Linked DNA regions of Lytechinus pictus. The protein of the gene in region 2 purifies or fractionates together with the protein of the main gene of each other region. This does not show direct contact. Links are inferred from orthologs where the notes say so. Each region holds a gene or a part of one and is shown on either strand. Other genes may lie near its edges.

Region 1 (6,843 bases), on a different chromosome or scaffold from region 2:
GATACGTGAGCATCTCTCCAGTCGAGGGGTAGAGCACCAGAGTCCACTGACAGCTTAAACATCGCTGTAATGCCAGGAGCAAGTTCGGGTGCACATTCCTTTAAAATGATGTTAGGAATAAGGTCTGGACCAGCTGCTTTTGAGATGTTGATCTTGCCAAGTAGCTTTTCCACACCAGAGACAGAAATGTGCAGATCGTCAATCTTGCGTGCAGGCTTGGTAGTTCTTGTTTCAACTGGTGGGATGAAGGTGTCCAAGTTGAAGACCGATTTGAACTGTTGTAACAGCATCTGTGCCTTCAGTCTGCTATCATGGATCAGATTACCATCCTTCTTTAGTGCTGGGGTACCAGTTCTATCTCTCCTCTTCGAGGACACGTATCTCCAGAAGGGCTTAGGATTGTTTTCCTCCAAACCATGCATGACTGAAGATAGGATGAAATTCTCTTCAGCTACTTTGAAAGCCTGTTTGCAGTCCTTCTGGAAGTCTGTATACTTCTTCCATGCACTCTTCTTGGCTGCACCGTGGGTGGTTTTCTTGGTTTTCTTGTAAAGTCTCATTTTCTTCTTCACCATTCGTTTGAGGCTGTGTGAAAACCACGGGAGAGATTTCCTACCTCGCACTGTCTTGGAGGGAACATGTTCATCTAGGATCTGAAACAGTGATGTCTTGAAGTGAGTCCAAACTTCTTCGATTCCTACTTTACAGTCAGTTTTAGTGACGAGTTCAGTAGATAACACTGCAGCTCGCTGGTGAATTTCAGTCCAGTTAGCTTTCTGAAACATGTAACACTTCTTGTTGTTGTGTTTCACAATGTGGGGTAGGATCTCAAAGTCCGTTACTACCATGGCATGGTCGCTAATCCCCGGCGTGCTGTTTGAACTCTTCACCAATGATGGGTTGTTAGTGAAGACGAGGTCTAGCAGATTGTCTTGCCTTGTAGGTTGCTCATGTATTTGATGGAGGCCAAAGTCCAAAGTGATGTCAATAAGAGCTTGTTGTACTTCTCTCTCAGCGGCGCCTGGTCGAGTGCTGAGGTGCTCCCAATCTATGTCTGGACAATTAAAGTCCCCAGTCAAAATAACATGATGGTCTCTGAGATTTTCCATGGTGCGCTCCAACGAGTTGCGGAGTTGGTTTAGGTGTTTCATGTCACGGTGAGGCATATAGAAGGAGCCACAATAGAGTTCCCTTTCACCTTTCAGTTTGATCTTATTCCAAACCACTTCACAGTCCGTTGAGAGCTCTGGTTTATTCTCTGTCGTGATGTTTCTTGAGACTCCAATAAAGACGCCACCCCCGGTGGATTCTCTATCATTCCTGGAGAATTGATGTGAGGAAGGGAAAACTTCTCAATTTTAAAGCAGCTATAACTTTCTTATTGCTTGTCTGATTTCTTTCAAACTTTCACCATTCTGTTTAATTTATTTTTTTCCTTCCCAACACAACATTTTATGGCCAAGGCTGGATTCCTCTTTAAGTTTATTTTCCCCGTTTTGGTGCATTTCAGGCCGGAATGGAATAATAATCTTTAGTTTGGTACAGTTCTTTTTATACATTTTTATGAAATAAAGACAAAAAAATCGATGAGCCCCGTCGGGGGGATTTTGCATTGTTAACCCCCTAATGGTGGCTGCACGGTAGTGAGCCGTCTGTGTACGAGGAGAATTTTTTTTTAAATGTTTTTTATTTTTTATTTTTTTTAAAACTCCTTGAAACAGACGGCTGCCAGCTGTCTAACGACTTCTATGGTTTGATTTTTCTGTGCACGGCGGCATGTAATGGGGAAAGAGTTCCATATGCACCCCCCACCAAAAATAACAAAAGATTGTTGAGACTTCCGGTTCGTTCACTTCAGATTTTTCTATCATTTTTTTACTGTTGCTTACCTTAGTTGGGACTCGAACTCACCTTGTTTGATCTGCAGTCAAGACCTTTCCCGCTATGCTAGCGAGAAGCGCTGATACCGGAAAGGGTATTTTTACGATTATCAGCCGATAGTTCGACTAGTCTTGACTCGCAGACCCTTTACTGACTAAATAAACCGATGTCTATGGACAATTACACGCACAAGGTCTCGCTCGAAATTTGACGGAATAAAGCCATATTTAATTGGTATGTATTTCCACTTCCCCATCATATATGTTCGATATTAGGGCTAGATATATTATTCTGAACCTTCTCCATGTTTTTATTTTCAATTTTAGTGGGGGGTGCATATGGAACTCTTAGACTTAGTCTTACCTGTAATGGACCCTTGAGTGACTCTCAACCAACAGGCAACACCAACATGGCAACAATCACCCACTACTATTGTGCAATGTATGGACTGACTTATCGCACTGCACTACCGTCCATAGTACCAATATGCACTGGGCCTGACTCAGAATTCGCTCTCCTGGGCCCCGTCTTACAAAGAGTTACGATTGATACAATCAATCATAACTTATGGAAATCCATCAGTGCCATAATTTTCTCTACAGTAGGCCCTACAGGAAATTTGCAAAATGTCTTGTTAAATGTTAGAACTTGAAGTTAGAACACACCAAATTGTCAAGAAATCAATGAATTTATGGATATACATTCATATCTAGATTTTTTTTTGGAACAATCATGCATTTTATATGGTGATTTTGCTGGCTGTCCATAGTTGCGATTGATCAGATCAATCGTAACTCTTACTAAAGTAAAAGACGGGGCCTTGATCTCACTGCTCAGAGTCAGACAGCAACTGAGTGAGAGGTGTTGTGAAATCTCCATTCAGATTCAGTGAGTAAGACACTGCACAGTCACTCAGACCAGTCTCAGTCATTCACATCGAGTAACCTTCAAAATCATGTTTTGATACTTTGATAAAATATTTCGTATTCTTAAACAATACTTACAATGGTCCCCGACATGTTAGGTGATATAATAAAGAATAGCCTACTCAGGAAATGTTAATTTAATCGTCTAAATGGATACACTGTTGTCAGAAAGCGTTAGAACGTAATTCTATGACTTGCAGATTAATTCTACATTTGAACGTAGAGGGCGACAAGCCAGGTCAAAAATGGGATCGGAGGGGTCTTTTGTAGAGGGGGATATACAAATAGCGATGAAAAATCTCGGGGAAAAAAAGTGGAAAAGCCTGATTGAGAATTAATCGATATATGAAGAAAATATAAAGGTAAATGACCTTGGTAGAATAGGAAAATAAGGAAAAACAGAATAAGAAGAAATCGGACAAGGAATAAGATTTATAGCTGTTTAAAAACCATACAATTTTATTGGCAATTTAGTGTTATGTGAAGATAAGACATATCTCACATATTCAATAATATGTCAATACATAATCAATACTTAATCAATACTTCTACAGGAAGTATAACATTAAATCATATGTTTACCAACTCCAACTTTCTTAAGAAAGTATTACTCATTCTTCTTCTAGCTAAACTTCTGACGCAAACACATTTTATGGGTTTTCTTATTCACTATACATTGATATGTTCTCCCTAAAAGGTCAACTACCTCAATTCGGAGTAAAGTTATGATGTACAGATTGTTTTGGTCAAGCGTCCAAGGTTGACCAACACCACTTTGGTTGTAAATGGTCTTGACCAGACCAATATAAAAGGGGTTCACTTCTGAACCCAGATCAGATAATAGAGATTGGTTAGAGAATAGATTATAGAGTTTTACAGAATAGAGACTGGAGTTTAGAGCTACAGAAAAGTATACTACATCAGTTTGCAGAGTCTATTTTATATACTTCAGAGTATACTACAGTCCCGGACTACAGTCAGCATCAGACTTACTCATGTATTTATCATCATCATCATCATCATCATCATCATCATCAAGTTATCATCTTTAATAAATTCATATGAACTCTACATCTTGCATTGATTCGTCTCATTTAAGTCTCGATCCAGCGACAACACAACATTAGTGAACAGATTGCAATTATTATACTTTCCCATTTTATCAGGAAATTCAGTGCATTTGGGTCACTCCGGGGATTCAGGCGAATTACGGTGCCCCTGACGGCGCTGACCATGCACTGGCCCATGAGAAAAGACGTTTATCCCTCGATCAAATAAAAAAATAAAAATGAAATAATGTCATAAGATCCTCTGAAGGTTCGTGAACTAAGAATTAAGCCCGTTATAAAAAATGACTTGATATGACATTTTGTTAACGGATATTTACCTAGATATATAATCGAGTAGATGGTTTGGAAATCTATGGGAATTACGTGCAATTAGAACAATAGAATTTCAAAACAAAACAAAAACACGGGAAGAAAATCCTTTTATAATCAATCGGGCGCGTTATACAAAGATAATCAGAGTTAACGAGTACAAAAGTCTGGATCCATTATTTTAGCTGCTGATTGATTCTATTATGATTTGGGAAGAGGCTTTCAAGCTTGAGCTCCATCCCCCTGTCCCCCGGTCTATCCCTCCCCATACTTTCATCGAAAGAAGGGTAGGGAGGATAATTGAAAATATTTCAAACAAAATTCAGTTCCAAGTTCAAATCAAACTAAAAATTTCGTTCAAGCTCCGCGCTCGCATTATACCTGTTCAGTGAGATAACAATCTTCTTATTTAGAGGATATATGGGTTCAAAATACATAAACACAAATTAATCTGCCCGTGATTACAGTTTTCTGTATTTTTTTCTGCGAGATACACGTCCTGTTCCTGACTACTCGTTCTCGTACTCTTTGATCTTTAATTATTAAGGGGCCGGTAAATACGTTTGTTCAGTTTTCAGATCATCGGAATATCAAAAGTGATCAGGTCTCTCTTCACACACATATTGATAATATAACTTTCCTGTTCATAAAAAGATAAACACAACAAAGTGCTCGAATGTTCTGTTTTCAGGTGGGAAAATAAAAAAAAATCACCTCGTGCTTCGCGCTGACTTCATTTTTATTGTATCTTGTTCATGCGTCACTGCAAACAATCCTTATCAGGTCCGGTCAGTAGGCCTATGTTAAAAATTTCAGCTCGATCGCGGTTCTCGCTCGCATCAATCGTTCATTTATATAGATACATATTTTATTCCTGCGTACAAAAATTTCTCGAAATTTTGGCAATTTCTGATAGTGAAATATCATTAAATTTGAGTTCGCGGATCGCTCAAACATTATTTATTCTGACATTATCTTGTTAGTAGTTGGGACGTATCCCCCTCCAATCCCTCCAACACCGACAAAAATCAGCTTTTAGCGGCCGATGGGGGAAAACTAGCTGTGGATGAAAATATTCCCCCGGCCCCTCTATTGGTGAAAGAAAGCCGATCCGCCCCCTGATACTTTTAAGGTGAGGTTATATGGGCCCATGCAGGGTGGAAAGGGCGGTGGGGATGTTCTCAATTTCTATCAACCTGATGACGGTCTGAAGTAAGTCAGATAAGTTTATTCTGATATTTTCTTTCCATACACTCTCCATCGCTCGATCAGCAATTGTTTTTTTTATATTACTATTATTTGATTTTATTTATATATCATTTATTTTTATTTTTATTTATTTTTTGCTAACAAGTGCGAGGGGGGGGGGTATTACGGTGGTGTCGGAAGGCCCGACCTCTCAGTCCCATACTGAGTCGCGAAGCCGCTTATAATTTGTACACTTATTTATTTGAACTTTTGTTACTTTTTAAGTTGATGTTAAGATAATTGGGCCATATATCCTGCACCCCTCATATGAAATTCAAAACTATCAGGACTCAGGCGAAATATATATATGTATATATATATTTTTAAAGGCTGGTTTTGAAAGACTTGTCAATGGTCAATCGCGGGGCCAAACGTACTAAGGTATGTTTTTTTTCAAAGCTTTTTTTTAAAGACTATAGCCAAACGTGTTTAGGGTATTTTTTTCCCCCAGGCCTTTTCCTCCTCGTTTCTGAAAAGTGTCAGTTCGGGTTCTTCCCGATTGTAAGCAACGACCCTGGGAACGGGCATGGGAAACGGGAAAACGCGGTTACTGTTATCAAGTGAGACAAAACTTGTTTAAGGGTCATATTCTGGCGACAACTTGTTTGGGGGCTAAATTGTGTAAAGGCCCGCGAAAAACTTGTTTAGGTGGTTATTTTGCACACAGAGAAAAAAAATCGTTTAGGGGGGTGTTTGGAGATAATTTGGTCACGCATGAGTATATACAGCAATTAGTACATCGGGATGGTATCAGGACAACTACCCCCCGGACAACTACCCCCCGGACAATTACCCCCCGAGGACAATTACCCCCGGACAATTACCCCCCGGACAATTACCCCCCGGACAAATACCCCCTGAGGACAACTACCCCCCGAGGACAATTACCCCCCGGACAATTACCCCCCGGACAACTACCCCCGGACAATTACCCCCGGACAATTACCCCCCCGGACAACTACCCCCCGGACAACTACCCCTCGGACAACTACCCCCGGACAACTACCCCCCGGACAAAGGGAGTGCACAGAGTCATACGTCGGCCGTACGTTTGACTTAAGAAGTACTCAAGGCATTCTCGAGTATCTTGGAATCAAACGTACGCCGTAAGAAGCTGTAAAATTGAGCTCCATCCATAGGCGGATCCAGGGGGCCGAGGGACCCGGCCCCCCCCCCCTATTGGCAGGGCAAAAAAATGAAGAAAAAAAAGGGGGAAAGAAAGAAAAAAAGAAAAAGAAGGGGAAAGAAAGGAGGAAAAATGAGAGGTAAAATAAGAGGAGGAAGACGAGTGAAAAAAAAAGGTCAGGGGATGACTTGGAAAATGATTAAAAAATACAAATTTTTAAATTTACAAATTGATTTTTCAAGTGCTCTGTAAAATGTCCGTTTTATGGTCTAAATATTAATAT
Region 2 (7,356 bases):
TTTATCTACTAAAAGAAAATTGATAAATCCTATAATAATTTTTTTTTTCAAAAAGCGAGCGTGTGACATATAGACTTTCTCACTAGCATCTATGCTGTGCATATTTTGTCAAAATAAGCAATTTTTTTTTCATTTTCCATTTGATTTTGATGAAATCTATTTATTCAATTAACCTGCTCTTGGGCTAGACTTGATCTTTAATTAAGGCGCACAAGCAGAGAATTCATATGACCATTACACCACCTGATTGACAACACATGGTAGTGTATCCTATTGCCAGACACCTTTATTTCAGTGTTTTACAAATGACAATTAGAGGAAATGCAATCAAGACAAATTCACACTTGCTATTCCAAATATCAGGAAAATTATGAATATGGTAAATTATTTGATATTTACCAACCATTTTATTTGCATCGCACTTGCCGCATACCCCTCCACGAAAAACAATTATTTTCGTGTGTGACAAATTACATCATGATTCCGGACGGGTGACAAAAGGGAGAAGGGTGAAGATATTCTTGTCTAATAATGATGTAAGAAAGAATTTGTGTGATAATTTTTTTATGTATCACATCATGCGTAAACTCTAAGTTTTGATTGCTTTTTTCATATCGAATCTGAGCAGATGTTGGTAATAAATTTGTGTTTTCTAGATCTAACGAATTCTATTTTTTCTTGTTAGCTTTCCAATATTATGCTCGTTCATATCGTGATGCTTATCAAGTTCTATCCATGCGCCGTCGATGGCTATACTCACGTTAAACATCACGCACAGTATAACCTGGAGTCTAGCCGTCGACGATCACCCACAATACACCACACGTCAACATTCGATCGAAGGCACAGATGAGATTGAAATTTGGCAAATTAGGCCAAAAATTCCGTCAGAAAATATATCAATTGTTAATGCAAAACTATGCTGTATGATATTTTAAGCATTATCTGTCATTTTAGAGATAAATAAGGAAAAAGTTAGATTTTTTTCGACTTTGAAATCTTGTTCCATGTATTGCTCTGTTGAAAAATTGAAATGCTGAAGTCTTACGGTACGAAATCGTTGAGTATGCAATATACATGTACACGTCTGGAATCATGATAAGTGTCCAGTAATACAATACGTGACTAGATGTATACCCTGTGCTTTGACTGATGCTGAAGCTGCTGATCCTGGTCTTGCTGCACCAGGACCTGGAGTAAGTCTACTCAGTGCTGCCTGGCCTGCCATCTGAGAACTAGTAGTAGGCTGCATTCTTGGGGCTACTGGTTTAGATTGACCAGATGTACTGGATGGAAAAAAAGGAAAAGAATTTAGAATAAAACATATCTCGTCAAATATAAAACAGGATTGAATAATATTTAATAGATTAGATTTTAGACTGAAATGAGTTCTATGCCTGCCCTTGGAATTTGAAGTTGATATTTTGAATGGAAAAAGATTGGATAAATGGAAGTTTTGTGTCCAAAAGCGATTTATAATCATCTACTGTATTGAAGTGTGACGTCATCAATTTTCCATTTTTGCATGTCACTTTTTTTTATACCATATTTTGGCTGAGCATGATGAAAACCCCCACAGCCCAAATTTGGTGGGAATCGGTCAAGTCAAGACATGTCATAGGGCCTGGGTCTAGAATTCTTATTCATGGCATGAGAATATAGCCTCCTTCAATTTCTATTTAGTAATTAGTATTAGTAACTGTATAGGCCTAGCTGTAAGTAACAATTCAACTGAATCTTGTTATGGAATTTTAGAAATCCATTTTTAATCGTACTATTTTGCTTATTACTATGGCATATTATGCCTGCCTAGCTTAGACCAAAAGCTTCGGTCTCTGTTATGTTGGTTGCTCCGCTGAATCAACTCCGTTGGCTCCACTCACCAAATACAGAGACCGAAGTTCTAGCTCGATCTGTACAGGTGTATTGTATTGGTTATTCGGATCAACCAGAGAAGTGGGAGTTGCGCGACAGCCGAAGTCACTGTTTTTTTCCCCTTTTAAGTTTATTTTTTCCCGTTTTGGTGCATTTCGGGCCAGAACGGAATAATAATCTTTACTTTGGTATGGTATAGTGGATTGTATTACCGAACACTTTTCATGAATTCAATTATATCAAACACATTATTCTCATAAAATTCACCAAAATTTCACGATAAATACACAATAACCGGTACCTACAAAATATAGGTTATGTAAAAATTTTGCCGAAATCGTTTTTCCTTTTTACGATTTCAGCTTCCAATCGGACCCCTCTTCGCATATGAAATATTTTGGTCACTTGAAAAAGGTATCGTGGCTACACGATACTGATAGCGAGCCGTCTGTGTTCAAGAGAAATAATTTTTTTTTAACTCCTCGAAACAGACGGCTGCCAGCTGTTTAGCATATGCCATAACATAAGCAAAGCCAAAGGGCAACGACTGAAAAATGGTGTAGTCCCATAAATGGCAAACCGTGTCATGCAAAGTTCGAAAGAACAAAAAATAGTTTTAGTCTAACCGTTAGTTCAATTAAATATTAAATAGCAAATACCTGGGCTGTGGCGTACTTTCGTTCAATTTTACTCCATGACCAGCTCTCTTGAATTTCATATCCGTTTTCTTTTTGTCGAAGAATTCCCCAATCTTCTTCATTTTGAACAATAAATTTCGAAACGGCAGCCAACAAAACGAGAGATGAATCAGATAATATTCATAGGGTCTAACGTAACATTAGATGTAAACAATAAACAGCGCCAACATCTCGAGTCGAAGCCGGCTAGAGTAAATTAATTCAATTCAGTTTAGGTAAATATCACAAGAGAGTAGAGTAAGTATATCATAAAACTGGCGGATCAAACAACATAGAAAAGCAAGCGGCTTGAAAATTGGGGGGGATCTATTTTAGGATCCACAGCACAGTGTCAGATGTAAAGTTAGTCGGACCCCCGCAAGGGGCGTTCGTCCCCTAGAAAATTGCCCATTGAACATTAATTTAGCTAAATCCGTCTATGAAAAATTTAATCTGCGCCCAACATTTGTTGGTTGCGCCCCCTCCGTTTCAAATCCTGGATCCCATATTCCGCCACTGGATACATATCACACAAATAATAATTGAATGATACAATGAATGCACCAAATGTTACTTGTATTTTCAAAGAATAATGTTTGCTGTATAATAAAAGGAAGTGATAAGTAGCAAAATGGAATGACAAAACAAAGCAAAACAAAAATATATCACATTGATTGATGGATTCGTTATGTACATATATATATATATATATATATATATATATATATATATATATATATATATATATATATATATGAAGTAAGAATGCTCATCTGTAAAATTGTACTTGATTTATATTACTTTATATTACTTTGTATTATGTTTTGACTGGAAATAGAATAAAGATTGAATTGAATTGAACTGAATTGAATATATACAAAGCAAGTCATCCGTTTATGTTCTAACACACATTTGCCCATGCCCCATCTCTTTTCAATATATTCAACACGATTAATTATAATGCTAAGATTAATACCGTCATATAGTATCAATAATGGTTTACATTGAATTTGTTATAAGAGGAATTGTAAGAGCAATTACATTCATTTATTAAGTTATTTCCTCTTTAAGGATATTCATAGCATAGAATGATTAAGAATATTCCAACATGTCTCACTAAAGCTTTGTTACTCATGAATGTTCTTTAATAGGCCGAGGAATTTTGTTATTTCTGAATAGAGACTGCAACACAAAGAGATTCCAAGTGGTTGTGGTAATGAACAATAGGATTAGCTATGTTGTTTATTTCACTGAGGTCATTCAAGAATGTTCTAAAATTAGACTGCTCTAGAAATTGGCAGAATGTTCTTTTTGTAGACAATACTAGAAGCTTCCATAATAGTAAATAATTTGTATATAAGCTGACAGTTTCTTCAAGGACATCATTACATCATATCAGATCAGAACTCAGAGTTTCACACCAGACTTTATGTCAGAGCAGAGTTTATTTCCAACCGGAATATTTATCCTCTGTGGTATTATTTGCACGCCATCAATGAACTGTTTGCAGTTTTTTTTTGAGAGAGGAATTCTCAGTTCTCATCGAGATCATCAACCTGTTTTAATGAACGCTTTTCAACCCATGGATTGCTGAAATTGACTGTTAATCATCATCAACATCGTCTTCATGGACATTTCAACATGTTACAGTGACTCTTGTTATTCATCGTGCTTCAACATCGATTTCATCATCGCCATCATTGTGAACTTTAATTTAAGGAATCTTCGCCAACCAACTGGGATTTAATTTGGATATACTATCTTAACCTTGGATTGTGCATCTGACACTTCAAGAGACGTAAAACCATTATTATTTTTTATTTGTTTGTGTATGGTTAATTATATTTCCTGTAATAAAAAAAGGAAATCAAATTTAAAACTAAATTTTCATTGTTATTTGTTGCAGTATCGTAACAAATTCAATGATCATTTTCTTATCATTGATAAAAATGTAATATAAAGTTTTCAATATGAGAACTAAGGTCATAATGATATATATGGTTATGATAATATATATGCTTATAATATATATATATATATTTATATATATATATACACACATATATATATAGGCGTAAAATAATCCAGGCATTGAAGCTAGACGTAGTTTTCAAGGTATCTCATTTAATGCTAGCTTTCGGCCAGTAGGGCCTTCATCAGGCCATTATGTATTGAAACAAACAAAATAGAACAAAACCATAAAACCATACAAATAAAATCGTCAATGCCTGGATTAGCACTGCAACACACGTTGTGCAAAGGGCTCTCTTCCTTTATATATATATATATATATGGCCCGGTTTCTGAATTCGGGTTTAACTTTGACCACGGTCTAACGTGTTACTCTGTTCTAAAATTATGGGATGCCAAAAAATTGTAAATCCTGTTAATAATACATTTTTTCTTATCTTTACTATTTTGTTTTCTTTTGCTTTCATAATGAAGGAAATACTTCAGATATCATTCATAGACAATTATGGATAATTTTAGTGTCAAATGAGTTAATAAATTGGATGTGTGCTGTTAAGGATTTGTGCCCCAATGGGCTCTCCATAGTTAAACCACAACTTTAAATCACGGTGTAATTTAAACCTGAGTTCAGAATACAGGCATTTCTATCCCCTCCTATTGAGAACCTACTGACATCTTGAGCTCTCCGGAGTCAATAACTAGTGACAGAGCGACACCTGTCCTTATTCAAAATATCAAGAAATATATAGAGATTATTATCTCGTATAATATGTATCTGTTGAAAATTTTGAAATTAAAAATCATGTTAAATTGAATTGAATTTTTCATCATCATCATCATTATCATCATCGTCATCATCAGACCATAATCACCACCACCACCATCACCATAATCATCATCATCATAATCATCATCATCATCATTATCATCATCATCACCACCATAATCATCATCACCATCATCTTCACCATAATCTTCACCACCACCACCACCATAATCATCATCATCATCATCATCGTCATCATCATCATCATCATCTTCACCACCACCACCACCACCACCACCAGCATAATCATCATCACCATCATTTTCACCACCACCACCACCACGATCATCATCATCACCATCATCATTATCATCATCACCACCATAATCATCATCGCCATCGTCTTCACCATCATCTTCACCACCACCACCACCAAGATCATCATCATCATCTTCATCATCGTCATCATCATCTTCACCACCACCGCTTCCACCATATTCATCGTCATCATCATCATCATCATCATCTTCACCACCACCACGATCATCATCATCATCATCATCACCATCCTCATCATTATCATCATCACCACCATAATCATCATCACAATCATCTTCACCATAATCTTCACCACCACCACCATAATCATCATAGTCATCATCATCATCATCATCATCACCATCATTTTCACCACCACCACCAGCATAATCATCATCACCATCATCTTCACCACCACCACCACCACCACGATCATCATCATCATCATCGTCATCATCATCACCATCATTATCATTATCATCATCACCACCATCATCTTCACCGCCACCACCACCATCACCACCACCATAATCATCATCGTCGTCATCATCATCATCATCGTCATCATCATCATCTTCTTCACCACCACCATCACCACCATAATCATCATCATCACCAACATCATTCATGTAGGCCTAGATCAACACCGCTAAAGGTCAAATGTTTATCATAGGGGCCAACTCTTAACCGAGAGAAACGCACCACCGAAACGTTGATTAGTTTATGATCACAACATATTTTATATAGTTTATGAAATAATAGTGCCTACAATATCTTCTGGGTGCTGCATTGTGGCGTGCGCCTGTAATACATGGAGGAAGTATAAATTAACTGATGCAGAGGTCCGAGGTTCTAGCCATGGTGCACGTCTTTGAGATGGTGATGTTTAAGCCTGTTTAACCCTTAAATGACTGGGGGCATGATGCTCCCCCTCAACGTTTCGTGCAATATTTCCAAAACGCAAAAAAAGATAGCACCGCAAAATTTTATGACTTTTTTTTTGAGGTCTCGCGCAACTTTTGAGACAAAATTCGCGACATAGGGGAGACCGGGGTTAATTGGCACATTTTTGACAAAATGGCTGTAAAATCCAAATAGATTTTATTCGAGAAACAATCAATATATCAGCTTGAAGCATATATCTAAGGGCTTCAAAATAATGTACCCCATAAAATTTTCAACTCTATTATGGTTACTGAAAAAAATCCACCTTGAACAAGACCATCGCAAACGTTCCAACTTACCCCAATACGGGGTAAGTTGGAACATGGTATGGGGTACGTTGGAACACTGCATGGTCAATTAAGAATTATACTAAAACTACTTAAAACTGTAATATTACATGGTTTTAGCCTATTTGCTTTATTTTTTCAAGTTCAAAATATTTAAAGTGTGGATTTGTTGAACTTTATGTTTTCTATTATACAGCCACTCACGCAAGCACACTGTGTAGTAGAATTCCGCGTATTTGGGTGCGTTCGATTTTACATGCAATTAAGTGTACTATCAGCAATTTCATGTACTTCTGCATCAAATTTACAAGACAAAAATTAATTATTTATATTTTTTTCATTAATCAATTATGCAAATAAGCATATGAAATTTGCCCTAAATTTTTTTTTTGCCTTTAACCATATTTATTAAGCTAGTAGAATGCTAATTTTTGGTGAGAGTATCAATTTTCACATTTATAACAAATATCCACCAAAAATTGCCAAAAATGTAATTTCTTATGCATTTTTTGTTTTT

What was found.
Region 1: the proteins of UBX domain-containing protein 6-like (region 2) and nuclear protein localization protein 4 homolog purify together in Homo sapiens (affinity purification with western blotting; 3 studies listed by BioGRID and IntAct, with this or other methods). This does not show direct contact. The link is inferred for Lytechinus pictus from reciprocal best matches to the Homo sapiens genes UBXN6 and NPLOC4.

What each region holds. Positions count from the first base shown.
Region 1 is NC_087254.1:29,541,073-29,547,915, reverse strand, and holds the start of nuclear protein localization protein 4 homolog, read right to left. Parts: upstream 3,027-6,843; 5' UTR 2,901-3,026; coding exon 2,886-2,900; intron 1-2,885. UniProt on the Homo sapiens protein: The ternary complex containing UFD1, VCP and NPLOC4 binds ubiquitinated proteins and is necessary for the export of misfolded proteins from the ER to the cytoplasm, where they are degraded by the proteasome.
Region 2 is NC_087247.1:47,551,515-47,558,870, forward strand, and holds the start of UBX domain-containing protein 6-like, read right to left. Parts: upstream 3,010-7,356; 5' UTR 2,636-3,009; coding exon 2,535-2,635; intron 1,287-2,534; coding exon 1,138-1,286; intron 1-1,137. UniProt on the Homo sapiens protein: May negatively regulate the ATPase activity of VCP, an ATP-driven segregase that associates with different cofactors to control a wide variety of cellular processes.